Linked DNA regions of Lytechinus pictus. The protein of the gene in region 2 purifies or fractionates together with the protein of the main gene of each other region. This does not show direct contact. Links are inferred from orthologs where the notes say so. Each region holds a gene or a part of one and is shown on either strand. Other genes may lie near its edges. The genes, in order: DCN1-like protein 3 and cullin-associated NEDD8-dissociated protein 1-like.

The links.
Region 1: the proteins of cullin-associated NEDD8-dissociated protein 1-like (region 2) and DCN1-like protein 3 purify together in Homo sapiens (affinity purification with western blotting; 3 studies listed by BioGRID, with this or other methods). This does not show direct contact. The link is inferred for Lytechinus pictus from reciprocal best matches to the Homo sapiens genes CAND1 and DCUN1D3.

Annotation. Positions count from the first base shown.
Region 1 is NC_087254.1:25,572,049-25,587,823, forward strand, and holds DCN1-like protein 3, read right to left. Parts: upstream 7,967-15,775; 5' UTR 7,844-7,966; coding exon 6,899-7,843; 3' UTR 129-6,898; downstream 1-128. UniProt on the Homo sapiens protein: Contributes to the neddylation of all cullins by transferring NEDD8 from N-terminally acetylated NEDD8-conjugating E2s enzyme to different cullin C-terminal domain-RBX complexes and may play a role in the cell cycle progression by regulating the SCF ubiquitin E3 ligase complex, after UV damage.
Region 2 is NC_087245.1:25,054,231-25,070,925, forward strand, and holds the start of cullin-associated NEDD8-dissociated protein 1-like, read right to left. Parts: upstream 6,820-16,695; 5' UTR 6,675-6,819; coding exon 6,633-6,674; intron 4,781-6,632; coding exon 4,679-4,780; intron 3,764-4,678; coding exon 3,696-3,763; intron 2,997-3,695; coding exon 2,884-2,996; intron 1,450-2,883; coding exon 1,349-1,449; intron 1,076-1,348; coding exon 1,009-1,075; intron 1-1,008. Other genes in the region: T-box protein 1-like, read left to right, coding at 11,418-12,508. UniProt on the Homo sapiens protein: Key assembly factor of SCF (SKP1-CUL1-F-box protein) E3 ubiquitin ligase complexes that promotes the exchange of the substrate-recognition F-box subunit in SCF complexes, thereby playing a key role in the cellular repertoire of SCF complexes.

The DNA.
Region 1 (15,775 bases), on a different chromosome or scaffold from region 2:
TCACTTCTGGTAGTTATAATAGACACATAAGGAAATAATGCATTAAAAAATGCATAAATTCTGAGCATATTCTGCCTTCACTCACATCAAAGAGACCCACGGAAAGTAAATAATAAATACAGATCATATAGTTTTGTAGAATTCATTTATTACATTAATTGTCCTCCAAAATATCACCAAGGCAACTGTATTCCGTAATAGTTTTGTGACAGGAGATGACGGATACATACATATCTTTCAGTGCATTGATTGTTGAATTTGAACGCCTGGGCATGGGTTATAATTAGATCGTACTTGGCATAGTGGCCAAGGGCAGACTGTCAGGCAGACAATAGTTTGATAAAGATTGATAAACAGCACAATTGGAAATACTACAGTGTGTGTGTGAGAGAGAGAAAGAGAGAGAGAGAGAAGGGGGGGTGACAAGAGAAGACGAGAAATGGAGACAAAGAAAGAGAGGCAGATAGTTAAAACATACATGTAAGACATGCAGGAGAAAGAGAATATGGGAGAAAATGGCAGAGGTGAGAGAGAGAGAGAGAGAGAGAGATTAAGATAAAACAAATGAAGCGAGTTTAATAGACTGGCAAAACAGGAAACAAATTGCATGATAAATTGAAGAATGGCCTCATTATGCATGGAATAATTACAAAATGCCATGTGACTATGACTACACTGACGACTATTCAGTTTGACCACAAAATGTTGCAAAATCACAGAAAAGTTTAGACAACTATTATTCATCAGATTATCATAGGCATGTACTGTACCCCCCATCTCTTTAAAAATCACTTAAATTCCTGTTTGCGTGCATTATAAAACACAACACTGCATTGGTATTGTGTAAAGTAGACGTGCTTTACAACGTTCTGATCAATAAAATTGCACATTAAATATCATCTGTGCATTGGCATGAAAGCATAACTTTAAGTCACATTTAACATTCCCCACAGAAGAATTTTTTATCAATACATGCAGTCTAAAATGTTTCATAACAAGGTTTGATGTTGGTCTTTGGTTGATGGCAAAGCTTACCTGCACAACACCAGATTGATACAAAATTGCAATATCAAAATGATTTTTAACTGAGAAGGACAAGCATACTTCATAATACCACTCAACATGATTGGATTCCAAAACAACACAGAAATGTGGCGATTGTGTAACATGGTAGTAAACAATCCTGTTACTTACCATTTAAATGATAGTGTGTTTTTCTGTGTTTTTCTGTGTATTTTTAATAATCCGTCAAGATATTTTGATGATCCAACTTGAACTGGGGCCTAATTGCAGAAAGTGTTGAATGCAAAACATAACTAAAAAAATTGAGCACAAGTCTAAAATGTGTAATTCTGATTGGTCAAAATTCAAACTGCCTTTGATATTTTTGAGGTGCAATTCATTTGAACTCTTTCTTTAACCGGCCCCAGGTCTCGTTATTCCAAGTTTCTATTGTAGGAACAAGTATTAACAAGTTTGGAATATAACAATGTCAATGGTGCATGTATTATTTCAACAATCTGAATGTTCTCAAAAGCAAACTATATACAGGTGTCCATATGACATGAAGACCTGTTCAACAAATTTGCAAGTGGATAGAATAAAAACTCAATACATGACAATCAAATTTAAAAATAAAATTTGTGGATTTTGAGCATATGAGTATGATCAACGGACCGATTTTAAGTAAACTCGCAGCAAAATTATGTATACTTATAGTTGTAATTGTTACAATCTGAAAGCTACAAGACATATTAACATTCATAAAGTTATATCCAAATCAGAAGGTCAAAGAAAACTGCAATTACTGTGCACATAGTGCAGAAAGATGTGACGATCTATTTTGGAACCATTCCTGATCACTGAACATTTAAAAGCTCAGAACAAAGAAATATGTTTCCTTATTCATTAGAAAATCTGAGGATTTATTCACAAAAATTCACCTTTGTGCTTTGATCACTCCTTCAGTGTACTAATTCCTATTAATTCCGATCGTTCCCGACTAATCTTCCAGGCCAGACATTTCGTTTCCACATTCCGAGATGGTATGTTATGTACACTGTATCCTTGCATTTGCCTATGGGTGCCTTTTTACAGTGTACAATTCCCATTTTCAGGCAATACTTTGGCTTTTGACACATGTTAAGTTAAGCATTTTCCCCATTCTTGTCTAAATGAAGATTGTTAACTCTTAACAATTTTACATGTACATGTGCGATCAGCATTCCTCAAAAAGACGGTTCCTGGGGATGCAACAATGTACATAGCGTCAATTCTAAATGCTTAAAACAACATCATTACATCACGTTGTTGTTTGATCAAGATCGCAATATAACACTACTCTTTTGGTAAAAGCACATGCCCAACATTTTCTTTTCTTCTGGGTCAATACAGAACACGCAATGCACTTTTGCGAATTCACCTAAACACAATACCGTAATATTAAAAACACTCTGTGGGAGTGTGTTTGCGATGATTCTGCCTTTGCTAAAGTAGCCTTAATGCACCCATGGATACTTGTCTTGGAAAAATGAATATTCTAAGAAAAAAAAAAATTTGTTGCTTTTTCACAGAAGATGGAGATGAGATTTTGATCATGCAAATTGGAGGTACATTTGTTATAGAGGGTACATTTATTTCTATTTTTTTACAATCTATTTCAGTTACATTCATGATCAATATGGCAATGGAGACTGTTAAGATGAAGCAATGAAATTTTTTTCTATTTCACTTTCATTTGTGTAATAAAGATTGAAACTCTGTAAAGTATTAAAAGGATTAACTGCTACATGTACTTCTCAAGTGAAGAAAAGTTAATGATTGGTTGCCAAGGCAACAAGATTAAGTCATGTATATTGAGAGCAAACACTGTCATTAGTCTTACTTAGAATTCAATGTATCCACGAATCTTGGAAGAGTGTAGTGAATTCTACATAGTTCTAGTTTTTAAAATGCTTGATCGCTCTCATACGGGTAGAACTGGAATTATAGCAAAATATGTGTATCAGTGAACAAACAATTCTACTTTCACAACACATTAATTTTTTATATGATGAAAGGATATTTCTTTGGACTTAAACACAACACACATATCAGCATTCTACAAATATTCAATGATTCAATATGAACTTGGTGTACATGTATAAAAATGTTGAAATACATCACAAGAGTATATGCATATACAAAACACATATAAAGTTTCTTAACTTTTCTTAAATATTAAATAAAAATAGTAATCTTACTTTGTACAATAATCAGAAAATTATAAACTTATTAAAAAATGATGACACTTCTCAAAAGTGTCTGAGTGTATTTAAAGACAATAAGATTTGTAACCTGTACAAAATTGTTTTAAGTTTCTGCTCACACAAACATGGAAAACAAAGTGGAAAAAATGACCCAAGATGAAATAACATTCACAAGTGAAAACTGAGCATGAATAAAAATGATAAGTAGGCTTAAATTAAGATTAATCTTATGATAAAAAATCAGCACAAAATAAACAAAGGAGAGATACTGAGATCTATGGAGTTGTGGATGAGGGTTCTGACTTTGTACATTTACGCCTATTCTATGGCTGATGCCAAGACTGTAGCAACTGATGCCTCAAATCCAATCTCAACTACATCCTTAATTGTAATATACCACTTCTTTCACATGCTTTTTTAAATAAAATTTACCATGTGCATAAAAGAATAGAATAAAATCTGACAAGTTTGGATATTCAACTGAAAAACAGGTAAGTCACAAAATATCTTCTTTCAAAAATCACAATGAAACAACGACATGTGCAGATGAAAAAAAAAAAACCCTCAAAATCAGGATTGTAATAAAGGACAGAATGTGTGTCCCTACATAGAAAAGTTCAATAAATAAAAACAATAAATTTGCAATTGATTATATCCTGCTATGTCAGGCATTACTGGGAAAAGGAATATTTTTAAATACATGCAGGTCTGTATTATGAATAAAGATGGGATCTGATGATTTCAACGGGTAAATTGCCAATTCGTCCACTCACCTCATGGTCTATTTCATTTAGTCTAATGCCATTCCGTCCATCAACATTTCGTCTAACAACCATTTGGTTCAATAACCATTTGGTCCAATCATCACTTTGTCTAATCACCATTTCGTCTATGACCATTTCGTCTCATAACCAGTTGGTCTAATAATTTCATTTTCATTCATTTTGCACAATTAACACTTAGCCCAAATGGTATATGGACTAAATGGCCATTGGACCAACTGGTTATTAGACGAAATGGTGAGTAGACGAATTTGCAATTAGACCATGTGGTGGATAGTGGACGAATTGATGGTAGACCAAATAATAGTAGACGAGTTGGCAATTGGATGAATAGGCATTAGACGAATAGGAAAGAAACCTTTCAAGGCATGGGAGAAATGGGGTCGTAATGTGTTTGTCAATATAGATAAAATTAAATATGACATGCAGTTCATAGACTGCTATTATAATTCTTTCAAAAAAGAGGTTATTAAGCTCGATTATGCATACATGTTGAAGACAGTTTCATATCAACAGTTCTCAAATTGATTGATAAGAAAAATCTTGTTTCTATTTTCTTTAACACGTTTTGTTTTCTTTATAAATCTAATTGAGATGCAGCATTTTATTTATCTCGTCTATTAATTTACCGAGTTGTCATCCACATTATAGAAGCTATAAATGAAACATCCAAATACATGAACATAATGCAAGTTAAAACGTAATCAAACATATTTTATGATGATTGGGTTCAGCCAAACCCCTCATATCTCAACAATGCAAAACGATGTTAAAATAATTTCAAAATCGATATTAAAAATAATTTTCAATATTAAACATCAGTAGTACTGAATAAATACACTGCACAAGAGGAGGTTATTTGAAGTATAACCCATTTGTTATTTGTATCTATATTCTCTGACATTTAGTTCCATTATATGATTTTTGTGAGGTACTTATAATCATACCAAAAAAAAAAAAAAACCCTTTAATACAGGTACATGAACCCTACAATGGGCAACTGTTGAGTCTATCATGTCAACCTAACTGTTTTGATTTCAACCTTCACAAAAATTATTAACATTTATCCATTAATGCAAGAAATTTAATTTACTGTATTTACTTCCGAATCATACTTGTACATTGTATCCAAAGTAATACATCTTTTAAAGGACAAATTATCAACTCTTGGAAGTTTATACTGTCTGAGATAGGTCCAAAATCCTTTGACCAGCAAAAAGTACAAGTTTTACCATTTTTGGTATTACATGTAACTTGTCGAGCAATAATATTCAGTGACCCCCCCCCCCCCCCCCCTCTTCACCCTCTCCCAGGAGGAAGATCATTTACAGATTTCAGATACATGTAAAATACATGTAGAATCCAACAGTTTTACATTCAGAAAAAATATTTTCAAACATTGCACTTGGGAAAGCTTTTCAAATTTCAAAAAGTCATATGACTAAAGGGGACTACATGTATGTGACAGTGATTACCTCTTTGACCAACCAGCTCAAAGCTACAAAAAGACAATGTAACATGCCAGAAAAGTCAGTTGGGCTCTAAATATTAAACAGTTTTCTTCTTCTTTTAATCTCTCCCTGAAACCTCATATGACACATAATCTTTCCTCCATACATGTAGATGCTGAGTTCTCCTCCTTATTCATGCAAAAAAAATATATATATATTTTCCCCCCAATTAGAAGATTGTGCGTCAAGAATGAGAAATCTAAAATCCATAATATTTATATGGGCTTTGGTCGATCAATTTTGTCAAATTAAATCATAAAATGTGCTCTTCTAATTGGGATACTTATGAAAATTATTTTTAAAAACTTATTGTAGGCTTTGAGTCGGGTGATCACATCTTCCAGAAATTAATATGAAGTTTGACAATTCTGAAGTGCATTACAATACTTCAAGGGGAAGGGTGTATCATAACGCTGTTTTTATTAAAGAAAGTTACAAATGCCTTTATTAACAGATGGGATATGGAAAGCGATTGTTCTTCAACCAACCATTTTTAGTTGCATTATATTAAAGTTCTTGAATAAGTACCATTCTCCCTATGAAAACATATTTTTATGCCAAGTCTACAGTACATGTGTATGACTATATTTTGCCGTGTTTCTGTGACTACCGGTATATTTTGCAATAAATTCACAGGAATTTCATTTGAAGTACATGAAAAAATTAATGAGACTTCAGCCAAAGTTTAGGCTCTAATTTGGCACTTAAACTTCCAGATAATCATAAGAGCAGTTTATACATGTACATGTAGGTGTAATTTTATGAAACACATTTTAAAACATTCCAAAGTTATAGAAGGTTTTTGAGTCTGAATATTTATGTGGATTTTAGCATTGAAACATGCATTCTACAAATAATTAAGGGCTACATAATGTGGAAACCCATTAATAAATATATCCAAGTACCAAGAAGTACAAATGCATTCTTTGGATTCTGATAACTTAATCTTCTGTATCAAAGATAAAAATGCGTTTAAATATGATCATGTTTTGACCAAGGTTTGTAAAGAATAATCCCTGCATGTCATTACATTTCCTGCTTTAAGAAAAATACGTTACAACAAGATGCTGCATAATACGCACATCTACATTTTATACTCTTCCGTGCATGTTATTATGGAAGTCTCCCAAGTTTTTTTCTTTGTTCACAAAAATATCATACTAATAAAATAAGAGAGTAAGATTCTTGGTCACTGGAATATCAGTCAAACAAAAGTAACTGCTTATTTTGAAACTAATGTCAGCAATTGAAAGGGCCATGAAGAAGCAAATGGAGCACCTTGCATTAGGAAAAAGGAGAAGACACAAATAAAACAAGTGAAAATGAATTAAAAATATGGGTATCCCTAATATTCTTTTTACACTAGATGAGTTTCCTCTTGGTCGTCATCCTCCTTTCCACCTTGATTTTCGGTTTTCAATCTATCATTTTCATATTCCACAAAGTCATCAAAAAGGCTAGGCCAGGCTTCGTTGTCGTCATAGTTACTGAGATTATCTTTAATGACCTCTACAAAGTGCAGAAACATCTGCCATGTGTCTCTTGATATACCTTTAACATGGTTAGCAGTCAGGAAATTGCACCAGCGATCTAGGATAGGGGGTTGTCGGTAGAAGAAGACAAGCTTCCATAGAGGTATTGCAATCTCACAAGGTAAAGTTCTCTGGCCCCCTTCAGTGTCCAAGCCAAAGCCGAATGTGTACCGATAAAGATCCTTGAACATGGCTTCATTCGTCTTGACCTCGTGTCGCAGTTCTGGAAACTTGGCTTTGATAGCATTGATGGAGTCAGCACGTAGGGTGCGACAACCTTGGATGAATTCAGTCCGCGTGAAGCGGCACATGACTGCCGCCTGAAACTTCCATGCAATGACTAGTACTATAAAATCCTCTGGACTGACCTTAAGGTCCTGACAAAATCTTTCGGTGCCTTCCGCCAAAATGGCATCCTCAGAATTATCTTTATATTTTTCAAAGAGTTTGTTTGCCTTTCGCTCAGAGAAGTCTGACTTCATGGCTGCGTTTGTCTCTACACCGTTTTGTCGGGGGAACTGCTTGTGCGTGTCATGCGCAGGTCTGCTGTGACTACCATTATTCGAGTCCCCAGCAGGACGGAGAGGGAGGTTGCCTGCACGGCCTCCGGTTGTGCTGATATGTTGGACGTACTGAACTGGTTGGGCAGTAGGGTGCTCTATAGCTGTGGCATGATGAGGGGGCTTGGGAGGGAGTTGTGCTTTGTTCTTGCCATTCTGCTCTTCCACGTTGGTTGAACCTGGGTTGCAGACGGAGAAACACTTGCCCATGAGGGTGGCTTGGTGGATGGCGCCGGGCAAGATAGCCTGGGGACCATAGGTGAGCACTGGGGTTGTGTGGACCAAAACAAGGTCATATAGAGGAGAGGTCCCTCAAATTAATAACATCAGGACAGATCTGGGAAAATAAAAAGGTACAACAAAGTGAAAATTAATATACAAGTATGATACAAATAATGTGTACTGTACATTGTATAGCATCCAGAAACAAAATCTAATTGACAATGTATGCACATTCTTCATTCCCTGGGGAGTAATTCAGCCAGTCTTCTTGAGCCACTCACGATGGGCAAGCAAAATGACCATCCCTCTACCTCTCGTCCAACCAACTAAATGTGCATGTATATCACCAACACACAAATACTTTCTAAATCAGTTTCATTCATCCTAATGAGTCGTCCATTGAATATTGTTATGCATGAGCAGGTGCATTGCTGGAATACTGTACTCCCAGGTAGTAGAGAATGTGAATACACCCTGTATATTCTCTGTGTGTGCAAGACAGACCAAGATCCATTATTTCAGTAGTGATAAACTGTAAATTGTGGAGTTACAAAACTGTCAAAAAGTGATTGAGAAATGTTAATAATATCCAGATCATTATTAATATAAAGAACAAATCATAACAGACAATCTACATGTAGCCTACAATGTACATGTACATGTATCACAAAGACTACCCATTTTATTTTGGTTCAGAAGTGAACTTGAACCATATCACCAGCATGGAGAGTCTGTCTTTGATATAAAAAGGGGTCAAGTTACGGTTGTGTTATGATAGAGTACAGCTGCTAAAAAACCTGTACAAATACAGAGAACACTTTGTGACAAACAATATGTGTGCCACATTTTTTTTCAATTTACACTCATTAAACGGAAGGTATAGATGAAAATGGTCAGTAATTCAATAGTTCACTGGTTCAAATTGTACATAAAGTTAAGTCTGGCTAGCATGTCTTTTTTTCTGACAGATTGCCACTGCCCAGACATAATAAAATATAGCTCAATAAATTACACAATACTATCTAACTAGTGGACATTTGATTACTTAAATATAAACTTCAATCTAGAAATACAGCTGCTCCATAGCTGATCAGGATACAAAGCTTTTTTTCCAAAATAAATATTGCCTATTATTATGCAAATTTGTTTCTTTAGGTTCTATACCCCCTACATTGTACATAGAAGCATGTACTTTCTCTCTTTTCTTTCAACCCCCTCCCAAATATCTTCATCTCTCACTCATTCACCCCATCATTTTTTTTTCTTTCTTTCTTTCCTTTTTCTCTTACAATTTCTAATCAAAATCAAACAAAACAAAAGCAAAAGCTCCAACGCAGGTCAGGAGCGAGTGTAGAGGAAATCTGTTGCAATTTATTGCAAATTATTGCAATGTTATGTACCTTTATAAATATCAAAATGTGCATTTCATTCTTTAAATCTACCTGTATTCAATTCCAATAACAAGATGACCTGAAAACAGACAAAAGTTCAAACATGCAACACAAAAAATTTCATCAAAACAACACCTTTGCATATAAAAAAGAACAGCCTACACAAAATGAGCAGTGTTTATGCAAGGATGTGTTCATTATTAAAAGAAACAGGGCTTCCTGATTCCACTAAATTGCAATGTACACTATAAAGATAGCAGAGATCAAAAATTCATCCCTTTTCTCAATACAGTCATGCTTCATGGTTTGATATCCCACTGATGATTCAAAGCACGTATTATTCACTCTCCAAGTCTGCCCATCATTGGATAATTTAATGCAATCCTTCAAGTTAACACACGCGAATATACGTCAATGCCCGACTCCTCCTTCCATCAAAGGACAATGATTTGGCTCTAAAAGTATCATTTCAAACTCCCAATTACAGTTCTCATCCATGCATCCATAATACAATTTGTGCCACTGATTCTACTTGTATCAAGAAGCTCCTTGCTTGCATACATCTCCATGGGGCAGACAAGCTTGCATTGCATACTGGTATAGAAGTAAAGATGATAGATGTTGTTTTCATACCCCCCCTGCTCCTATTTTCTCACGTTTTCTCCCACATCACTAGATACAGTGGTGCTGCACTTGATTAATTAACTAGTGATGAATGATGATACTGTAGTGTATGCTTGTCATATTCATTGCAATGCATCTTGTATTCATGCTTGTTCACTTTGAACTGTGAAGTTGAACCACGATGTCATGAGGTGATGTGACAAGTTTTCTAATGATCTCTAATATTATTTTTTCCACATGTATGACACACAATGAGCAGTATGTTTTACTGGAAAATTTGCCTATTATTGCGATGGAAGACGATTACATACTATGTGGGCCTACATGTCATGTACATGTACATCTCTGACGTTCTGACTTCCGACGTGAGAACATTATTGAACTCTTACGCATGCTTGCATTGCATTAGGAATACGAAGTGGTATTAAGAGACTGTACAGCATGTTTTCATACACTCCCCTTCCTATTTTATCATGTTTTTCCCACACCACAAGGAAGTGTATATAGTGATGAATGATGATAATATAATTGTTTGTCACACTGCAATTCATGTATAATACTTTGTTCAGTTTTACATACATGTACGTAAGATCTGTGAACCATATTGAAGTGAATGTACTTTCTTTGATATAACAACACATTCAGCAGTGATGTACAGAAGCAGAAAATATATAGTGATTTTTGAAACACACAAAAAGGCCTTCTCTAGCACATGTATCATAGTCAGGGGTTGGAACCTTAAAACAGTTTTATAGCAAAAATGTAAGCCCAGAAATCTTTCATTCAAGGATTCAAATATTAAAAAAGGGAAATGTTTGCTTTATATAAAGGCAGAAATTTCTCATAGTGTACACATGTCAACACACCCGTCTGCCAACATGATTTTCCTGTTGAATGTTCAAATGGCCGGAAAATCAATTACATGCACTCTACATGCATTTCACACCTTAAATGTCACACAATGAGTCTAGAAAAACTGGAGCAAAAATATCTTTGTCTCAATAATAGGACCCCTGTGCCACCATGTTAGAATGCATGCTTTAACACTTGTTTCTTGGAACGGCAGCCTGGTAATTGATTGGGTGTACATGTACTGTATGTATGTACCCTTACATAACTGTGACTGCTCAATATCTGCATGAATGTCAAGGCAAATCTGGAAAATTAAATTGAGCAAACATCATACACGTACATCATATAGTGTTGGAAATCAATTATTCCAATTAACAACCCTTTTTTTTCAATGATAACACACATGTATAGATTCCTACATGTTATTGATTCTGATGCCTTTAATTTTAGAGAAGAAATTACCAGCATTAGACAGGCCCAGGCTATTGCTTGGGACCAAAAAGTTTTTTTTTTTTTTGGATAAGCATGGTATGTTTTAATACAGGAAGGTTGCAAAAAATGAAAATTCAGAGAAAGGGGGGGGGGGGGGGGGGGTCAGGAAATGAGACAAAATATATTAAAAGGAAAAGGGATATAATGTGCTTATACTTTATAGAGTTCATTCACTCATCTTTTTTGTTCATGTTTGACAGGATACACTAGTGAATGTAAAGGGTGAATACACCAAGAGGATGTGGAAATACATACAGAAATTGGATATTATCCTAACAAAAAAAAAACATCTGGGATACATGTACTTGCAGAATCAGAAATATGTGGTTGCGTGTTTCAGTACATATTTTGAGGGATTGTGACTAATGCTCCCTTTTGTCTACTAAACACTAAAATTTATATTTGTTACCAAGGATACAGCATAAATAAGCCCACTGTTTATGTTCAATTAATACACACACACGCCAGGTACATACATACATGTACAATGTCTAGTACATTGCGCATCAGCCATGATAACATTCATTGTGAATTTGTCAATCACATCAATAGCTTTTTTTTATAAAAATGTAAATCGCAAAAGTCTATTACCACACTGACGTGATGAGAACAGATGGCATTGTTACTATGGCAACTGTACCTCACTATTCACAGCTCCTGTAGAACTTTCTAGTGCTCTTTATAATGCAAATCAATAATATGTAATTAGGCCTACAATGTACTTGTATTTTTCATCATGTCTTGATAATTCTATATTACGCGACAGTTAGGAAGACAATCAGTTTTAATAAATTATCAGATATGTCTCACAAACAGAATAGGAAATACATGAGGACTCATGCCCTCATGACAGCCCAAATCAACCCTAAAATTCCCTCAAAATGCAAGCTTTGGAGTGACCATTCATTCTAGAGTCGCACTAAGATCTGTAACAAACAATATTCAAGATTAATTTATAGAAAATCAATATTCTATTCCTAGGTTATAGCACAATAATGATGTTTGCTTTTACTGCTTAATTGCCCGTTACCCTTAATAAAAAGTAGCCCTTACAACAAAAGAAATAGCCCCCCAAATAATTACTGCAATTGCTCCAACGTGGATAAAAAGATAGCCTCTAAAAAACAACAATAATTTCCTATCCTGCTCACCAATAATAGCCAAAAGACAAACCAAAAATTAATGAATAAAAGGACTGCACTCCTTTTGTTTAAATCATTACACATAGATTTATTTTAGATCTTAATAAAACCTTTTCAAAATAAAAGATACAAAAAGATGCTGCAAAAAGAGGAATTTTATAACAAAACAAATATTAAAATGATTAATAAAACAAATCATCTTCCATGTATAAGGAACATAATGAATTATGATCTGGCATGCAATGAAAGCTGGGGTTTTTCTGCTTTGAGCCAATCAGATGCAAGGATATTTAATAGTAGATTATAACAACAGACACAAAAAAATAAGTGTCTACATGGACATGTAAGTACGAGCATGGTACGAGATAACTTCAGTTTTATACCTTATCAAGATGAAGTTTTAAAGGGGTACTCTGCTGAAAATAATCTACATAAAAAGAGTAAAATTCACTGAGCAAGATGCTGGAAATTTTTTATCAAAATCAAAATCACTTTTTAACCGAATTGGATGGTAGAATAGTGGACCTGCATGTTATGCTGCAGCCGGAGGTCACGTGTATTAAAGGTCAAAGATCATTTTCAGTTCAACGTTAAACTTTACGTGCAAGACTCTCTTGACACATAACTCCCCAACCGTAAGTCACTTTTCAACAAAACTTGGATTGTAGATGTACTTGGGGGACCTGCATGTTATGCTGCGGTCGGAGGTCACATGGTAAGTTCAAAGGTCATTTTCAGGTCAACGTTTAAGTTTACATGCAAGCCTCTCTTATGACACCTAACTCTGCAATCTTAAAGGTCAAGTCCACCCCAACAAAATGTTGATTTGAATCAATAGAGAAAAATCAGACAAGCACAATGCTGAAAATTTCATCAAAATCGGATGTAAAATAAGAAAGTTATGACATTTCAAAGTTTCGCTTATTTTTAACAGAATAGTTATATGAACGAGCCAGTTACATCCAAATTAGAGAGTCGATGATGTCACTCACTCACTATTTCTTTTGTTTTTTATTGTTTGAATTATACAATATTTCAATTTTTACGAATTTGACGATTAGGACCTCCTTGCCTGAACCACAAAATGTTACAATAATGGAATTCCATGTATTCAGGGAGGAATGAAATTTCATTTCACCTGACAATGACGAGAAAATCAAAATATTTCATAATTCATATAATAAAATACAAAAGAAATAGTGAGTGAGTGATGTCATCAGTTCCCTCATTTGCATACCGATAACCGATTTTGCAATCGGCAACCGATTCCATTCGATTTCACCACAATCGGCAATCACTTGCCGATCTTCGATCATGCCCCTTGAAGGAAAAAAATCGAAAATAAAAAATCGGCGTAGATCTGGTTACAGTGCGTGATCGCTCAGAACATATTTCAAGATTGTTTTTGAGGCGCTAGCTATTTAGAGGTCGCATTATTCAGGGAGAAAGTCACGGTATTATCTATGGCAATGTTTAAGGGGATAGATATCTTCTCTTCCAACTCATGGTGATAGCGGATGCCGCCGTGAACTTTGAAAGGTCATATTACCGACGGAGCTCACTGCGTTACTCTCTTACATCGTTTATGATTATATACATTTTATTTTCAACCTCGTGGTGATAGCGGATGCCGCCGTGATTTTTGAAAGGTCGTATTACCGACGGAGCTCACTGCGCTACTCTCTTACCCCCTTTATAATGATATAAATCTTCTCTTCAACCTCGTGGTGATAGCGGACCCCGCCATTAACTTTTAAAGACTGTACTATTGACGGAGCTTATTGCGTTGCTCTCTTACATCGTTTATGATGATATTCATTTTATTTTCAACCTCGTGGTGATAGCGGAAGCCGCCGTGAACTTTGAAAGGTCGTATTACCGACGGAGCTCACTGCGCTACTCTCTTACATCGTTTATAATGATATAAATCTTCTCTTCAACCTCGTGGTGATAGCGGACCCCGCCAGAAACTTTTAAAGACTGTACTATTGACGGAGCTTATTGCGTTACTCTCTTACATCATTTATGATGATATTCATTTTATTTTCAACCTCGTGGTGATAGCGGAAGCCGCCGTGAACTTTGAAAGGTCGTATTACCGACGGAGCTCACTGCGCTACTCTCTTACATCGTTTATAATGATATAAATCTTCTCTTCAACCTCGTGGTGATAGCGGACCCCACCAGAAACTTTTAAAGACTGTACTATTGACGGAGCTTATTGCGTTACTCTCTTACATCGTTTATGATGATATACATTTTATTTTCAACCTCGTGGTGATAGCGGATGCCGCCGTGAACTTTGAAAGGTCGTACTATTGACGGAGCTCATTGCGTTACTCTCTTACATCGTTTATGATGATTTACATTTTATTTTCAACCTCGTGGTGATAGCGGACCCCGCCGTGAACTTTTAAAGATCGTGCTACTGACGGAGCTTATTGCGTTACTCTCTTACATCGTTTATGATGATATACATTTTATTTTCAACCTCGTGGTGATAGCGGATGCCGCCGTGAACTTTGAAAGGTCGTACTATTGACGGAGCTCATTGCGTTACTCTCTTACATCGTTTATGATGATTTACATTTTATTTTAAACCTCGTGGTGATAGCGGACTCCGCCGTGAACTTTTAAAGATCGTGCTACTGACGGAGCTTATTGCGTTACTCTCTTACATCGTTTATGATGATATTCATTTTATTTTCAACCTCGTGGTGATAGCGGAAGCCGCCGTGAACTTTGAAAGGTCGTATTACCGACGGAGCTCACTGCGCTACTCTCTTACATCGCTTATAATGATATAAATCTTCTCTTCAACCTCGTGGTGATAGCGGACCCTGCCAGAAACTTTTAAAGACTGTACTATTGACGGAGCTTATTGCGTTACTCTCTTACATCGTTTATGATGATTTACATTTTATTTTCAACCTCGTGGTGATAGCGGACCCCGCCGTGACCTTTTAAAGATCGTGCTACAGACGGAGCTTATTGCGTTACTCTCTTACCCCCTTTATGATGATAGACATCTTCTCTTCAACCTCGTGGTGATAGCGGACCCCGCCGTGAACTTCAAATTGATTTGAAAACGCTAGCTACCCAAAACATTTTAATAACATATTTCAAATCATCGTGCGTGCTTGCGTCGTCTACTTCATTTTAATTGCACTTGCGACTTTAAGATGATGCGTCGTAAGAGATCATTCCAATAATTCTTAATCGCTAGCACCTAAAAATACTTCTAAAAGATGTCCCGCCGATCGTTCATTAACCAGTGATCTATGAGAAATATTTTCTTTTTATTTTCCTTTGCGCCTTTGCTCGGAAGATGCGTCTTTCGTTTATCTTTCTAATAAAAATCACTCGGTTTATTTTAAAGCAATAACACCTCAAAACCCCTGGCTTTAAAACATGTTCCA
Region 2 (16,695 bases):
AAATCAAACAAAATGAGAACATCAATATTTCTAAGGGCTTCAAGATATTTCAAGGACATGTATCTCCAAAATATCATATACTGAAATGAATACATTCAGAAAAATGATATCAAACCAAAAGAAAACAAATGACTTCAAAATTAATCAAATATATTTGGAAAGAGACTTTTTAACCAACTTACCAAAGTTTGTGGTAGTAAACATCAACTGAAACTGGCCCAAATTAAGCAATGATATTTCTCATTATTGCCTTTTCTGTAGTTTTTCTCCTCATTTATTGAATTTCATGATAATAATAATAAGAATAGCCAATTTTTATATAGCGCTTTTCCCAGAATGGCTCAAAGCGCGTTACGGCATATTATTACCCCGGTCATTGGATTCATTTCAATCCCGCACGAAAAGTGCACAATTTCCACTCCCTGGGGAGCATTCCTTGCATTCATCGCAGCCTCATAATGGCGCTGGCAAATTTAAACGTACAATATCTTTCGCATCCTACCGGGTACCCATTTAGCACCTGGGTCGAGAGTGGCAAAGTGTGGATTAAAGCCTTGCCAAAGGACGCTAGACCGCGGTGGGATTCGAACACACGACCCTCTGTTTACAAGGCGAGAGTCAGAACCACTACACCACGGCTCTTCCATGATGAATGTCGCAAATGGTAAATGGCCATGATATTCAAAGCTATTCAGTCAACTCATTTTTTTTAGCTGGTTTATGAATACATTTAGAAGTTAACAGGATGCTGTAACACAAAGCATTGCACTCGATCGTGGAACAAATTTAGCTATTGATTGCATTAAGCAGTGTACAATCACTTGTACGATTTTTTTATGAGACCCAGAGAGTGCTTTTTTTTCCAATAAGTATTCATGACAAGAACAAATACTTTGCTGCTGTCTGTTGCCACCTGACCAAGAAATTGTCAGAAGCAGATGGTATCTTTAGACTTCAGTAAGTGACAGATCTTTCAAGACAGACCATCAAAATATTTTTCCCAATTACCTCCAAATCTGCTGAGAAGATCACCCAAGATGTCTAGGGCTTCCAATTTGACTGACACATCCTCTTGCTGGAAACAAACAAAAGAAAGAAAATAAAATTTAGTTGTCATTTAAAAATAAATAACATATAATCAACTTCTGATTTTAATTCACAATTCAGCAGATTGCATTTTGTAAATGCTATATTGATCAGGGAAAATCAGTTTCTCAAAGATTCTGCTCATTCTGCTGTAAGAATGGGTAAAAATATCTAGGGGAGGGGGGCGGGGCATACCATAATCTTTCATGAAACCTCTAATATCGACATTCTTCATACTAAGAAAGTGAGAAAGCATACTTACCATGGCAATGGCATTGGTTAGCCTGCCAGTGATGCTCTTACATATGTTAGCTGCCAAAGGGCTGGAAGCAGGTGGCAGTTCATTGATGACTGTCTTCAGACCTATGTTACAAAATATAAAAATAAATCATTTATAACCAATGATTCTAACCTCATTTTTTTTTCCACATGATACATCAATGTTCTTAACCTCATTAATTCTTGAACATCAACATTGTTACAATGTTCATGGCTCCATTGGAGATACCGATATCAGGATGTACTTGCTTGAGGACTTCTTTTCATTTTGGGGATATGGACATGTCTCTTTAAAAAAAATTGTATATCCATATCAACCCCTCAAATATGAATGAAACCAGAGATAATATTTATCTAATTTCAAGTTGAGCAGTAATATAGACATGCCCAATAGAAAAGTTGCCGAGCCGTAAAATTATTGTATTTTAAAACCCATAAGTGCTTGATTTAATTAATTGGCAAAATTTAAAAAAGGATAAAATACGTTCCACATTGACCAAGGAAACAATGAAATTCTGATAGATCCTTAAATACAGTATGCCAATTAATAGGATGTAAAGGGAGATAATCTTTAAAATTGAAAAAAGTTCTAAAATAATATCTATATAACAACTATTAAGAGAGAATCAAGCGTTGTAAACAACTTTTACAGTCTTTGCCCATCACAGTCATCTTTAGCATGCATGAAACCTATCCTTACCATCCTATCATATTACCCCACCTTCATCAACTAAAGGGTGTACATGTATGTATGCTCAATTACACTGGCTGTCATAAACATGGTAACAGATACGAGTACATATAGCTGCATGACAGACATCGCTGTTCACACATAAGCCAGTCAAAACTGTCAGCATAGTACATGGCATGTATACATGGCATGTATGCCAAGTACATGTATTCAGAAATAAGGTAGTCTCTCAATTTTCTTTTTATTTGAATAAGCAAGTTTTTTGTAACTAAGAATACAAAAATATATTTATTTTTGTGTAATGTGAATGCACATGACTCTATTTTCTGCAAGGAGTCTCTCCCACACAAACAAGAAAATAATAAGTCAAGTGTTTTCATATCATCTTACCTAAAACATAAAAATAAATAACCAAAAACAAGATGGTTAACAAACCACTTGTCTCGCCTCATTTTTGTGATTATTAAAACCTGCAAAATGACCTTTTTACTCCTAGATGACCTTTGCCCTCGCCATCTCTATCTCCACAAATGTGATATTACCCAGGAATCATTTGTACCAAGTATGAACGCAATTGATGCAGAAACAAAGAAACGAGAGCAAGTTAAACAAAAACTTTTAAATTTTTGTAACAGACTAACAGACCATCAGGAAAACTGATCACTAGGTCTCTGCTGAACTTAGTTCAATCGAGACAAAAAAGAGCTACCAACCTTACAACAAACATTTCTTTGGGGGGAGGGGGCCTACTTGGTATTTATACCCTTCCTTCAGAGATTGATAGCACTTGGCTTTCCATGTATATCCAAAGAGTTAATGCTACTTACCAATGCTGGAGATATCTCTCAGTTGTTCTTTATCTGAGAGCATATTGTTACACAGTGTATCCACAATCGTCTCCACTTGGTACTCCTTGACCTTTGACACTAATGGACCCAAGCTGAAATGAATCAATAATAAGATTGTGGTAAAAGTCACTTAATTTGTAAAATGTTCAAAATAGAATAATAAATTACTTTGTCCTGGGCCCTGTAACGTGAAATATAAAATCAATTGTACAAATCAGTGTAACTGCACATGTACGTCTTCTGTCTATGGAAAACCATGAACAAAAAGATACAATTCATTGTAAATATTGCATCCCCTGATTTCCAATCAATTTGTATTCATATCATCAGTACTTACTAGCTTTGGGCAATATGATTACATATGAATTCATATTTCCATCAATTTATGCAGGAGTCATAAAATAAAACAAATCTTTAAATATTCCACCTTTAGTTATGCTAAAAGTGTGTCAAAAATTTTGACAATGAACCAATACTGTGAACTACATCACATGTATCTGACATCCAAATCTAACAAAAAATCACAATTGCGACCATTACATCATTTTCACAGATATCATTTTCTTTTAAATGTCCCCCCCCCCCCCAAGTTGGAGAGTGGAGGGGTGAGTAGAAGAAAATGAAATCTAAGTTTTATATCATTTATCTCTACAGCAGCAAGACCATTGTTTTGGATTCTAAACTTTAATCTAACTTTAAACTATTATCAAAGACCTGTTGAACAAGTTGAAAAACTCTCATACAAGTAGGAATTTCTACATAATCTCACAACAATGGAATATATATTTTACCATTTGACGGCCAAGTTCTGGACTTCTCCATTCTTATCTTCCAACAACTTCAAGAGCATCCTCACCACCTGGATTTTTATGAGAAAAATTTGAAACAAATTATGAACTCAAACCTAGGGGAAAGGGGTTACAATATTCATAATGGGCAAATACACACGTCAATAACCAATCTTCATGCATCAGGCCTAACTTGTGTGTATGCTTTATGTTGATTAAAGAATAAGTAAGTACTGATAATCGTAAATTGAAAATAAAAACAATTGCACTAGGATTTCAAAAATCTACTGAAATTTGAAATCCACAATCTCTTTATGAACGCCTATCCCAGCTTGCTCCATGGGTAACAACACAAATAATAGTACTTAATGTTTATTGTGCCATGATGCCCATTGATAGCAATAAAGTATACCAATATCTTACATATCACAAAAATCATGTAAATTTCTTAACAAAATGGAAGTGTCAAATATAAATTAGGGATGTACAATAGGTGGTGCAAAACCTTAAATCACTTTCCATGAGAGCTTTTCATTGGAGCTAATATCTATCATGCATGTATACTTGAGTTTTATTTCCTATTATTGTAAATTCCCAAAGGGATTGCAGCCACCAACCATGGACATTTATGTGGTAGTTTACAGTACATTCAATTTCTTGGCCTTAGCTATGAACGTAATTTTGTTATCAATTCTCAACTGTCTTGGGGGGGGGGTGGGGGTAGAAACGTTCAACAAAAATTCTACCTCAAGCAAACATCATCCAAAAAATCATTAGTTTCAATGCAGGTTTTATTTTGATTTAGTTTTTCAAAAAAAATGATCACAATAATTCATTCTTACACAATTTACCGGTATCTTTTCTATTAAACACATAGGGGCTAAACCTATCAGGCCTATTGTGACACTTTGGCTGGCAGATCACCCTAAAACACTGTGTAAGTTTTTCCCTGTTGTAAATCATGCTGGGAAAATTACAGTACTTACCTTTTTCTCACTGTCATCATCAAGCTTGATGGAGTCTTTCTGAAGCTCAGTCATCAGATCATTAGTTGCCATAAACCGAAAATCCTTATCACTGGACGTCATCTGTATAGAAAATTAATATAATAATTTGTTGGGTTTTTTTTCAAATCCAAATATAACTATTAATTACCGGTACTAGATTGTGTGATGTGCAATAAAACATACCAAGACAGAAAATGATTCTTAAAAAGGGGGCTTTAGAAAAAAAAGGATAAACTGGGGAGAGAGTTATCAAGTTTTTTTAGCTGCATGAGGGACTATCCCATCAAGTAAATGAATCATGATCCTGCCATTCCCAAAAGCTACAACTGAAAGCCATCCCAGCAAATCACGTGGTCTACATGTATGTACATGTACCCAATAAAAAAATAACATACTTGGAAAAGGATTTGTAATGTAAATGGGAAAGATTGCAAAATATGAAAACATTACAATATTGAGACTTAATTAAATCAGGGCTGAAAACTTTGTCTCCTCAGAAAATAAAAATTCATCTACAGGTCAATTATATTCCTGACTTTTTAACCATTATTTTGTTTGAAGGCAAGTCCATCCAAATGACAAATAGTTTTCACTCAAACAAGCATAACAATGAAAATTTCATCAAAATCAGGTGTACATCAAAATGTTTTAATAGCACTTTTAACTTTTGCCTAGACTTCTACATCGCAAAACAATGTAGCTAACACAAGCACTATGCTAATGAGGGACCAACTCATATCACACTTATAATTTATTTCTTTCATGATATCAAATGGGATTTTAAACCTGTAATGGAAAAACAGGATTTGACTAAACTTTGAACATACATGTATGAAATTACCATTATTTCAACTTATTATGAATCAATCAAGAACCTCTTTACTGTATTTAAAAATTATATCTGACGAACCAGAAAGAAAATCTGGCAATGTTTACACCACCATTTTGGCTTTTGTTAAGGAAAGCTGTTGCGCATTACCAATGAGCCGATCATGAAGCAGGACAATCACAATACTGCATGGCTTCAATTGTCTAGCTGGCTTGCCAATCGGCCCTATGATTGCGCAACTTAACTTCATTCCATGACAAAATGTTGTGATGATTGGATAAGTGCTGGCTTGTGAAAACAAGATTGAATGTTAAATCTTGGCACATGTCAAATAAAGGGTGCATTAACATTTTAAATTATACCCTATCATGCAAACCCATCATTGATCTGGTCTGGAAGTACGTGACGTTCTTACTTTTAAAAATGCAATATATCAGGGGAAAAATTGAATATTTGAGAGAATTTGTGGATACTTTTATCTCATACGCATATTTGGGTAGACTATAAGTATAATTTTTTTTGGCAAAGTTGAAGTTTGAACACTGCTGATTAAATATTACCGATGGCGAACTAACGAGTTTGCATTTTACCTTTTTTGCATTGCCATTGCATGGATAGACTGGAACCCGGTTATTTTTTTCCTTCTTCTTCTTACATTATAGTATGTCCCTCTTGTAGAGTATTTCCATACTTGTCACAATTATAACTTTCTCTCTTTTTCAATTTTTATTTTTAAAAAATTCTTCAACGTGACAACAGATCATGGTCAATAAATGAATAACGGACAGATAGAATCATGAAATTGATGCAAGACTCTATAGTATAGTATAAATGGAAACTTTATTTTTTGTTGCTCTGTTTGTTTGAAATATTTGGAACCTTATACCAACGGTAACCCGATTATTCTTGGCCGCGCACACATTCACAAGAATCCCGAGGCTGAACTCCACCGACGCGACGCCGACAATAATTTGGCGGCGGAGCCGTGTTCCCTTACTAACTGCGCTGAGTTACATACGCCGTACGCAACGTGTGGGACTGAAATTGGGCAGTACCCGGCAAATTACGCTGCTCTGAACAATACACAAAATTTGTATCCATTACCTTCTCCAAGAGATTGGAGATGATGTAAGAGAAGCTTGCCATGGTTTCCTGATTTTCCTTAACCCAGATTGATGATGAACGTCTCAAAAGGTTATAGGTAAAGCAGAATAGTCCTAATAGAAGATGATCTGAGTTCACAAGATCAACATGGCACTGTCAACTCTTACGCGCATGCGCGAGAACGATCGAGCTGAACTTATTTTCGATTTCATTATCAGCAGAAGATGAAGATACATTATTTCCAAAATTATTATATTCTTTTATTTTTTTACTCCTCGATAAGTAAGTCCCACATGGCCCTACCCCTGTAACCCCGCTGAAGCACCCCAAGATTTTTCCGGGGGTGCTGCGTGTATTATTCTCCATAGGCAGCACCCCTGGAGGTCTGGTAGGTGTGAAAAAATTGATAAAAATGACCTTCATTTTATAGAGAACCCCTCTCCGTTGTGGGGGAGGGGGGCCTTGTGAAATTTCTCGGGACCAAAATGATCTTTAATTTTTAGTGAATCAAAAGCTGGTATCTTGCCTCTAATAATTCGAGATTCTTCATCGGTTACAGAGAATAATATTAATTTGTGTTTCAATCATCTATAAAAGTATAGCTTCATAACTATGAGCAATAGGCCTACTCGCTCGTTGAATTTTTTTTTCAGGGGGCTGTCAAAATATTAAGTCTATAAAAATTCAATACTTTCTAAGTTTCTCTGCAAGAAAAATAGACAAGCAAGGGGTCGCTCCAAAATTTTCATTTTTATCTCTATTCACATTTTGGGTGAAAACGTGAAATAAAGTTGAAGAAAGAAAAGGAACTGAGAAACAGAAAGAGAAAAGGACGAGAAACCAAAGGAGAGAAGGGAAATGAAACTAAGAAGAAGAACAGAAAAATAGAAGAAAACAAGAAAATGAAGGAGGAAGAATAAAAAAAAAAACATCAAAGGATAACGAAGGAAAAATGTCATTATCATTATTTTAGCGATTATCGATATCATAATTAAAACCATTGTACTTATCATCATTGATGCTATTGCTTATTTTTCATTATTGTGTTGTTTTTATTAATCCATCATCTAAGCAGAATAGTCACCATCAACATTAATACAACTTTTTTTTTATTAATTCCCTTTAACAATATTTTTGCCCTCAACTTTAGCTGTCCGGCTCTTAAAAACTGTATGCGTGAACAAATAAACTGTGTTATATGGCTTTCCACAATAATTATTGTAGGCCTATAATTTTACACTCTAAATTCCAAGGATTTAAAATAAATCCAGATCGGCTGTGAATAGTGACCAGCCAAATCTTTTTAAAATTCATTTGAATCTTAAGGATTAACTATTAAATCTCAAAAGATTTAGATTTAAATCTTTTAGATTTATATCTAAATCAACAAGGTTTAAATCTAAATCTAATATTCAGCTGGTCACTATTCACAGCCGATCTGGATTTATTTTAAATCCTTGGAATTTAGAGTGTATTATTTCTTACCTATATATACAACAGTCCTTTGCTCCTTGTGAAAAACTTGTTTCAATAATTTGATAGCAGCTTAATGCATTTCATAAAACGATTTTGTGTAAAATCTTGCCAAATTATTGAATTTCATAATCTTTCATATATTAGCAACAGGTCGCAAGGGCGTATAGGCTGGGGGTGCACTGAGTGCACCGTGCACTCTCCCGCTGAGACAGAGGAGTTCCGACACTGGCAAGCAAAATGAAATTTGGACCCCTTCTTCTGCTTTCAACAGCGGATTAGTTCCACCTCCCCAAGATGTTCACCTCCCGATGCTCAAACCAGGCTGTAGTATGTCCTTTGTGTTATTTTGTTTGATTACTGTATATGTTATGCTTCTTTTCATATGTGTTTATTTTTTTATTGTATATGGACCCCATGGAAGAACTGTATTGTCATGTTGACAAAACTGAATATGGGCTATACGTCAGTTTTGTATATATATATATATATATATATATATATATATATATATATATATATATATATATATTGTGTGAAAGAAATGGATGAAGAGAACAATGGTAGGCGTAGCTTAAATCAAGGTTCCCCAGAGCTCCTGGCTTAAAGCCGGGAAAACATTGCTATGTATAAAACATTGCTCTGGGGAACCTTGATTTAAGCTACGCCTACCATTGTTCTCTTCATCCATTTCTTTCACACAATATTTAAATAAAAGAGTTGCCAAAGCTGTAGTACATGTATAACTTCACACACATATATATATATATATATATATATATATATATATATATATACACGTTTATACGGAGAATAGCTTTACATGTACACTATAAACTTTACCATCATTATCACAATGGGCATAATTCTTTACATCTGAATTCCCCCTTAATTTGTCTAGGCAATCGCTCGCCAAACTTTACAATATTATTAACAACGTCTATTGGCGTGCAAATGCTACACTTTCAAACAGTGTCGTAATGAGCCCAAAGGCATTGAGGGGCTAGATATGGCGTATTGGGCAAAATTTATTTTTAATATTTTCAATTTAATAATAAATATCAAGTTTTGTGATATATTTTTACATAATTTTCAGAAAGTAATATCATATTTCACTCTTCTCTCTTTCCTTTTTTTTTCTTGGTCGTGATTTTTTTTTGGGGGGACAAGCATCCCAAGGGCCCCCATCTGTACGCCACTGCTGTCAAAACAAAATAATTAGGTGTATATGAGATTGCTACGCGCGTTCCGTATACCCAATGGTGATAACACAAAGCGGTCATTGACCTTTTCCTGTCTGGTGAGTGGTCATCTAATCCCTTCCGGTCGGATTTGAACTTCGACCACTAATTATTTATTCATGATGTCATGAGAGAAGACTTCCTTGAAATGACCCCCTGATGAGGAAGAGGCTTGAGAACACATTCCTAGAAAGCAAGGGGGATTCGAGAATCACCGTCATATTATTATGTTTTACTCTTTGATTTAAGATAAGAACCATTTACCACGCTGTGTACGTACGACTTGAAACCAAGAAAAGTCACAGCATCAATGACTGTTTTTCGAGCATTAAAAAAATTAATAGAAAAGTAGAGGCGGTAGCTACTTTTTACGAAAACATTTATGATTGTAGTATAATAGTAGTAGGCACTACTTGTATTAGTAGTAGTAGTAGCAGTAGTAGTAGTAGTAGTAGTAGTAGTAGTAGTAGTAGTAGTAGTAGTAGTAGTAGAAGTAGTAGTAGTAGTAGTAGTAGTAACAGTAGTAGTAGTAGTAGTAGTAGTAGTAGTAGTAGTAGAAGCAGCAGCAGCAGCAGCAGCAGCAGCAGCAGCAGTAGTAGTAGTAGTAGTAGGAGTAGTAGTAGTAGTAGTAGTAGTAGTAGTAGTAGTAGTAGTAGTAGTAGTAGTAGTAGTAGAAGCAGCAGCAATAGCAGCAGCAGCAGCAGCAGCAGCAGCAGCAGCAGTAGTAGTAGTAGTAGTAGTAGTAGTAGTAGTAGTAGTAGTAGTAGTAGTAGCAGTAGTAGCAGTAGTAGCAGTATAGTAGCAGTAGTCGCAGTAGTCGCAGTAGTAGTAGTAGTAGTAGAAGTAGCAGTAGCAGTAGTAGTAGTAGTAGTAGTAGTAGTAGTAGTAGTAGTAGTAGTAGTAGTAGTAGTAGTAGTAGGAGTAGGAGTAGTAGTAGTAGTAGTAGTAGTAGTAGTAGTAGTAGTAGTAGTAGTAGTAGTAGTAGTAGTAGTAGTAGTAGTAGTAGTAGTAGTAGTAGTATAGTAGCAATAGTAGTAATAGTAGTAGTAGTAGTAGAAGCAGCAGCAATAGCAGCAGCAGCAGCAGCAGCAGCAGCAGCAGTAGTAGTAGTAGTAGTAGTAGTAGTAGTAGTAGTAGTAGTAGTAGTAGTAGTAGTAGTAGTAGTAGTAGTAGTAGTATATAGTAGGCCTAATCATCTTGAAGTATATTGGAAATATAATAAAGGGAAGAGTAAGAAGAAGACTTGAAGAAAAACTTCCCGCTACTAATAATGCATGAATTTTCAGAAATGAAGGAAGCAGTTAATAGCTTAAAGGAGCAGAAGAAAGAGAGGAGGAGGCCCGGGAGGAGGAGGATAGAGAAAGCTGAACACGTATATTAATTAGCAGATCAAGGAATTTATATATCGTCTTCTGTTTGTCCATGAAATAAGCATCAAAACCCCTTGGCATATGGTAGTTCCAAAATAAACAATCATCTTCTATGCCAATTCTATAACTCAATTCTTTTTATCCGTTTGTCAACTAATGTTACTTTCAAGTCGCGTGCCTCCCTCTTGACCAATCAGCGTTCAAGTCGCCATTGTCTGGTCGCCCCACGAGATCAGACAGGGAGGCCTCATTAACAAGTCCCCGAAGAGTGGTGCCTTACTTATGACGTAATATAAAGAGAGTCAACCAAGCGAAACGTCAATGTGTATGATAGCATGCGATGCTCAATCCAGGCAAAGTTTAACTAACTTCTTCACTATTGTGTTCAGTCTTTTCATGTAAAAGACGTTTCGCAGGTTGGATTTTGACAGTTCCTGCAAATTTGACGGTTCATCATCGTCTCACGCCCAAATGAGATGATCGCACACACATCACGCCAGGGGAATTTCAGGAAAAGTGTTAACATTTAAGAGAGGTATTTCATCAGCGTTCACGCCTTGTCACTTCTTTGTTTATTCATGACTGCTAACCGAATTTTCGCACTCCAACTTTGTCCTAAAGGGATTGAATTTTATCACGTTTGCGCCTTTTGATTTGGCGCGATTTCTTTTTTTCGAGATTTTTTTGGGCTTCAGAAGATTATGATGGGAGATGAATTTCAGCATGCGGCTGCAGCAACAGACACGACTAACTTTCTAAAGACAGAACCAGAAGAAAATATTTGCGTTTCTGAAGATGAGAATCTTAATGGTGAATCAACAGATAATATCGTCGATAAATCAGCAGATTCCCAAAATAAAACGAAATTTGAATTATGCGAGATCAAGTCAAATCTAGAGAATTGTGATGAAAACAGACAGTCTGAGTCACTACAGAGGAATGGACATGGGAACACCGAACAGTCATACAGTTTACACGATTTTGGAACCCATCATGATTTGCATGGGAATTTACAGAGGTATTGTCCTCTGTCATCTCTCCAAAACCAGCCTCAGCAACCGGCAAATTTACCGCACTACCTGTTGAATACTTGCACGGTATCCAACTTCACTGGAATTCCCACCCCGCCACCCGCCACTTCGCACAGTCAACAACAGGTGATTCAAAGGACGTCGCCTTTCATAGATGGGTTCCAGCACCTGTCGGGAACACACCAAACCCACCAGCAAATATCCGAAATCGGTACCCCATCAGGAAATAGCAATGCACTGATCCACCATCTCCATGACACCAATGAGTTTTCAAGTCACGACACAACCGCATCGGGCCGTTGCAGTGCAGATGAAAAATCCTCAATGCCGATCTGTGCAAGCCACGATCCTATTCACCAAAGGTTGCTACAACAGCCACAACAGTTGCAGGAATTCGACATGAAGAAAGAACTTGAACATAACGATGTCCAAGTACCACCATTCTTTGTTGAAAACAAACCACCAATACTTCAGACGACCAGTGCTCCACCACATCAGCTAATTGGCGCCTCTTTGGTTCCGCCATCACCCCATACCTTCGGTCACCTCCCAAATGGCGCCTCGCAGGACCACGAGGACGAACATGCGAAGGGTGTCGTTCCGAACCATGTCGTCAGCCAGCCATACCCTCCACCAGCGGGTCACCAGCACGTCGAGGTCGCCAACGGGCCAGGGAAGGCGTCAGTTTACCTCTGCAACCGCGACCTGTGGCGGAAATTCCATCAGCATAATACGGAGATGATTATCACAAAACAAGGAAGGTAAGTAAAATGCAACTTTTAAAAAGCCATGCACCAGCTACAAACACAATGTCATATTTCTCTATGAAATGAATACTTGTATATTCTACTTCCCTGTGTCACACAAGAAAATAAAACCATTATACTCTTCCCCCGATCATATTGTATTTTACATTGCAAGGAGTAACGTCAATAAAACCAAAATCCCATTCTTCGTTTTATATCTTTTCACAATTTTATAGAGTGCGTGTCAGGTTATTTTCTTATGCATTATTTATACCCAAGTTGTATATTTTTGCAAAATATCAAGTAATCTCCCACATAAATTATCAAAATAATCAAAACAATTCGTAGCTTTTTGTAGCTTAACATGCGTAAAATTGTCTAAATCACTTTAAATTTATTTCAGTGTATGTTTTTAAGGTCAATGAAAAATAAAACATTCTTCTGTTTAATAAATGAATGGCAATCTCTGGAATAAAATCTATGAGCGGTAATTGTTGCCACATGTAAGTCTGGCATTCATCATCATCTAGCAAGTTTTCGAATATCCAAAACAACGATTTTTTAAAGGGTATGTCATTTTGATAAATGATATTTAACTTCTAGATCGATTTAAGTTAAAGCTACTTTTAGGGCACATTTTTGACAAGGTATGATAAACACACACACAATTTATGGAAATTTCTTGATAATTTAACAAAGACGATTTCGACAGATCATTTGGCGTCACCACAAACTACAATAATTTTTGTTCGCGGTCTTTTGAGAAAAATTGATTAAACCAGTGATTTAACAAAGGTGGGAAAAATTGAAGGCAAAATTATAAGTTTTCAAAAATCAGAAAGCTTATTCTTTATTGACAATATATATTTGTTTTAAGAATTTCTTGTGCGGTTATTTTAATATATGCTAATAAAACAATGACACGATAACAACCGCATTCGTGCACATAATTATATTTGATGATACTTTTGAATAATGTTCGCCTCCCTATTGGTCTAACGGATTTTTCATTCACATTTTGGAAGTGTTTTTTTTAATGCCACCCAATCATGTTGATAAATGCGTGGTCTCAGACGATATGTGATAAAGAATACCAGGAAGGGAATTCTCTCAAATTTCATTTCACAGTATTCATACCCAAAAAATTATTTGTTTTATTTTCACCATGCAAAATATACTTGTAGATAAGAATACATAAAGCAAATCATAAACGAAAACAAATGATGGGTAGAGTCCCTGAAATGGAATTATTTTAGGTGAGATACTCTTTTAGATAAAGCATTAATAATTTTGTTTTCAGAACAGAAACAAGAACTATACATTTATATGAGTAGGATTTTAAAAACCTATGCCGATATAAACCTTATTGATAAATAAATCATACATTTTCAACACCCATAAAGCCTTAAAATACCACATTCCTCACCAAAAATGACAGGTATTTGGAAATAATAATAATAATAACAACATTTATAGGGCGCTTTGTATACGGGTGTTTCAGAGCGCACATGTTGGCTGACTAAAGTAAACAATAAGCCCATTAATTGAATTTTTAAAAAAGTATGCTAGTGTTGAGAAAATGGGAATTTCGAGTGAGGATTTAAACATTTCAACAGAGGGAGCATTTTGGATATGAGTTGGGAGCTTGTTCCACAGAGTAGGGGCAATAACAGAAAAAGAGCGATCACCGTATCTCGTCTTTGTGCGAGGGTCAAGAGTATATATATATATATATATATATATATATATATATATATATATATATATATATATATATATATAATGTAAGGGGGCCCTCAGCACAACGAGTAGTGCAGGCACTCATCATTTAGTGTAGATAAACTTGGAAGACAGAAATAACGACGAGTGAGACGTAGCTCTCAGGTTTCCTTTTTTTGCAAGCTTTCGGCCATCATCGGCCTTCGTCAGGCCTACAAAAAAAGGAAATCGGATGGAACGAACATAGTATTTACATATATATAAATTAGGTATAATATTAGGTATACGTCTCAATCATCGTTATTTCTGTCTTCCAAGTATATATATATATATATATATATATATATATATGTATATGTATATATATATACACTGTAAAAATGGAAGTGCTAATTTAGCACTTACAGTGCTTGTATAGTGACTGCACTATACGAGTGCTGATTTTCTAGTTTAATTTTGAAAATCAGCACTCGTAGTGCAGTCACTATGCAAGCACTGTAAGTGCTAAATTAGCACTTCATTATTTACAGTGTATATATATATATATATATATATATATATATTATATATATCTTCATCCATTTCTTTACAATATTTAAATAAAAGAGTTGCCAAAGCTGTTGTACATGTATAACTTTACACATATATATATATATTATATATGAAGAGTATATCCTTCACATTTCTTTTCTTTTTTAATGATAAAATATTGATACAATGAAAGTCGTATCATAAACGTATATAAGGGTATTGAATTCAAAAGCATCGCATAGCTCGTTTGATCATTTTAATTTTACTGAAATGTAAAAATATTCTAGTCAAAACAAAGTTCGTCCAAATGTTTATTTATTTATTTATGTATTTATTATCAATTCGGTCATTACAATATATGAAATATGAATTAACAATAAAACAAACAGAACCGTGGGTGGATACATGTATATAGCTTTGATTGAACAAAATATCATGGGTTATTCATTCAAAGCCAAAATCTTATCTTTTTTTTCAATTCATATTATCATGTCAACTGATACTTGTAACTGGGACAGATCGTCAAATGAAATCATGTGGACTTTTCAGTAATCACATAAGAGATGATTCCATCACTGTGAAAGTCTATGAATGAATTTGAACTCGGAATAGTGTTTACACGATGGCCACTTAACCGCATGGCGCGTCTAGTTCGGATGTGGAATGTCTATTTTCAGCGTGCACCTGTTTCATCGATCATTGTTGATACCAAGTGGTCATGACGGTCATAATCTTTACAAAGCATCCCGATGTGTATGTTCTTAACTCATTACACCTGTAATCAATATTATTCGCTGCTAATTAATTTCCGAGAATCCATTGTACGAATATTCAATACATTACAAGTGTGTAGCGTTAAGCCGCTGCGAGGCTTAATAATAAGGTTTTTTTTTTCAAAGAAAGGGGCCTTATGCTCATAATCTTTTATTATTATTGGTCTGAATGCAAGCAAACATCATTCTATTTAATGTATGCAGGCCTATTTGAGAACAAGATAAAAACAGATGTTGTTCGACTATTCAGTTCTTTATTTCCTGAATAGACTTTATTAGGCCTACAGATCTACCTGTACTTTGCTTGCTGCAACAGGGACAGTGTTATATAGGAGGAAAGTAAGTCTGTTCCCTATGATTTTGCAAGTAGTGAAAAGGGAGAAAAGTGGAAAAATAAAAGGAAAAAGAAAAAACAGGAGGAAAAAGAAAAAAAAAGTGCATAAGAATGATATCCTTATTGTTTAGCTCTTTACTGCCCATCTTAAAGAAGACAATTACGTCACTTTTATTTAGTCTTTCCGTGTGAAAATACCGCGTAGCCTCGCTTGGCAGGAAGTACATTTTAAGAAGAAAATCAATGTAAATAAACAATCTAAAGCTTTTGAAAGCCGTTTATAACTCGATATTATTTACTCGATCAAGAATTTGGAAATTTCATCATATCTAGGCATTTTTAAATATAAATTGTTGCTTCAAACTGTGGTTTCTTTTTTAAACGTTTGAGAAAATGAAGATTGGTCCAATCATGGACCTATGAAGAGATGGACATTCATCGCTTACTTAATGAATTCACTAACAGGTGACTGTAATTGTCCTCTGAATAACATTCTCTTCATACTAGTCTTCTTTGGTTCCATGATCGTCACCGTGAGAAGGGACGGAAGCAGTTCGTGACTGGACATTTATATTTCACAAATTATATGCGCAATAGACAACAAATCACTTAAATCATGGCAAATCGATGTGCAGTTCTTTTTTACCTTTGGTAATCTTAGTTCCATGTGTTTTATTTGGGAGAAATGTCTGCATATTTTAATGTAGAGGCAATATTGTGATTGATTGTTTACCATTTAAAATTCAATTTCCCAAGTTTCTCCATAATATTCCAAATATACGTGGTACATAACATATATAGATCGTGTATCTCTCAATGTTATTGAGGTCCTTATGTGTGAGCGG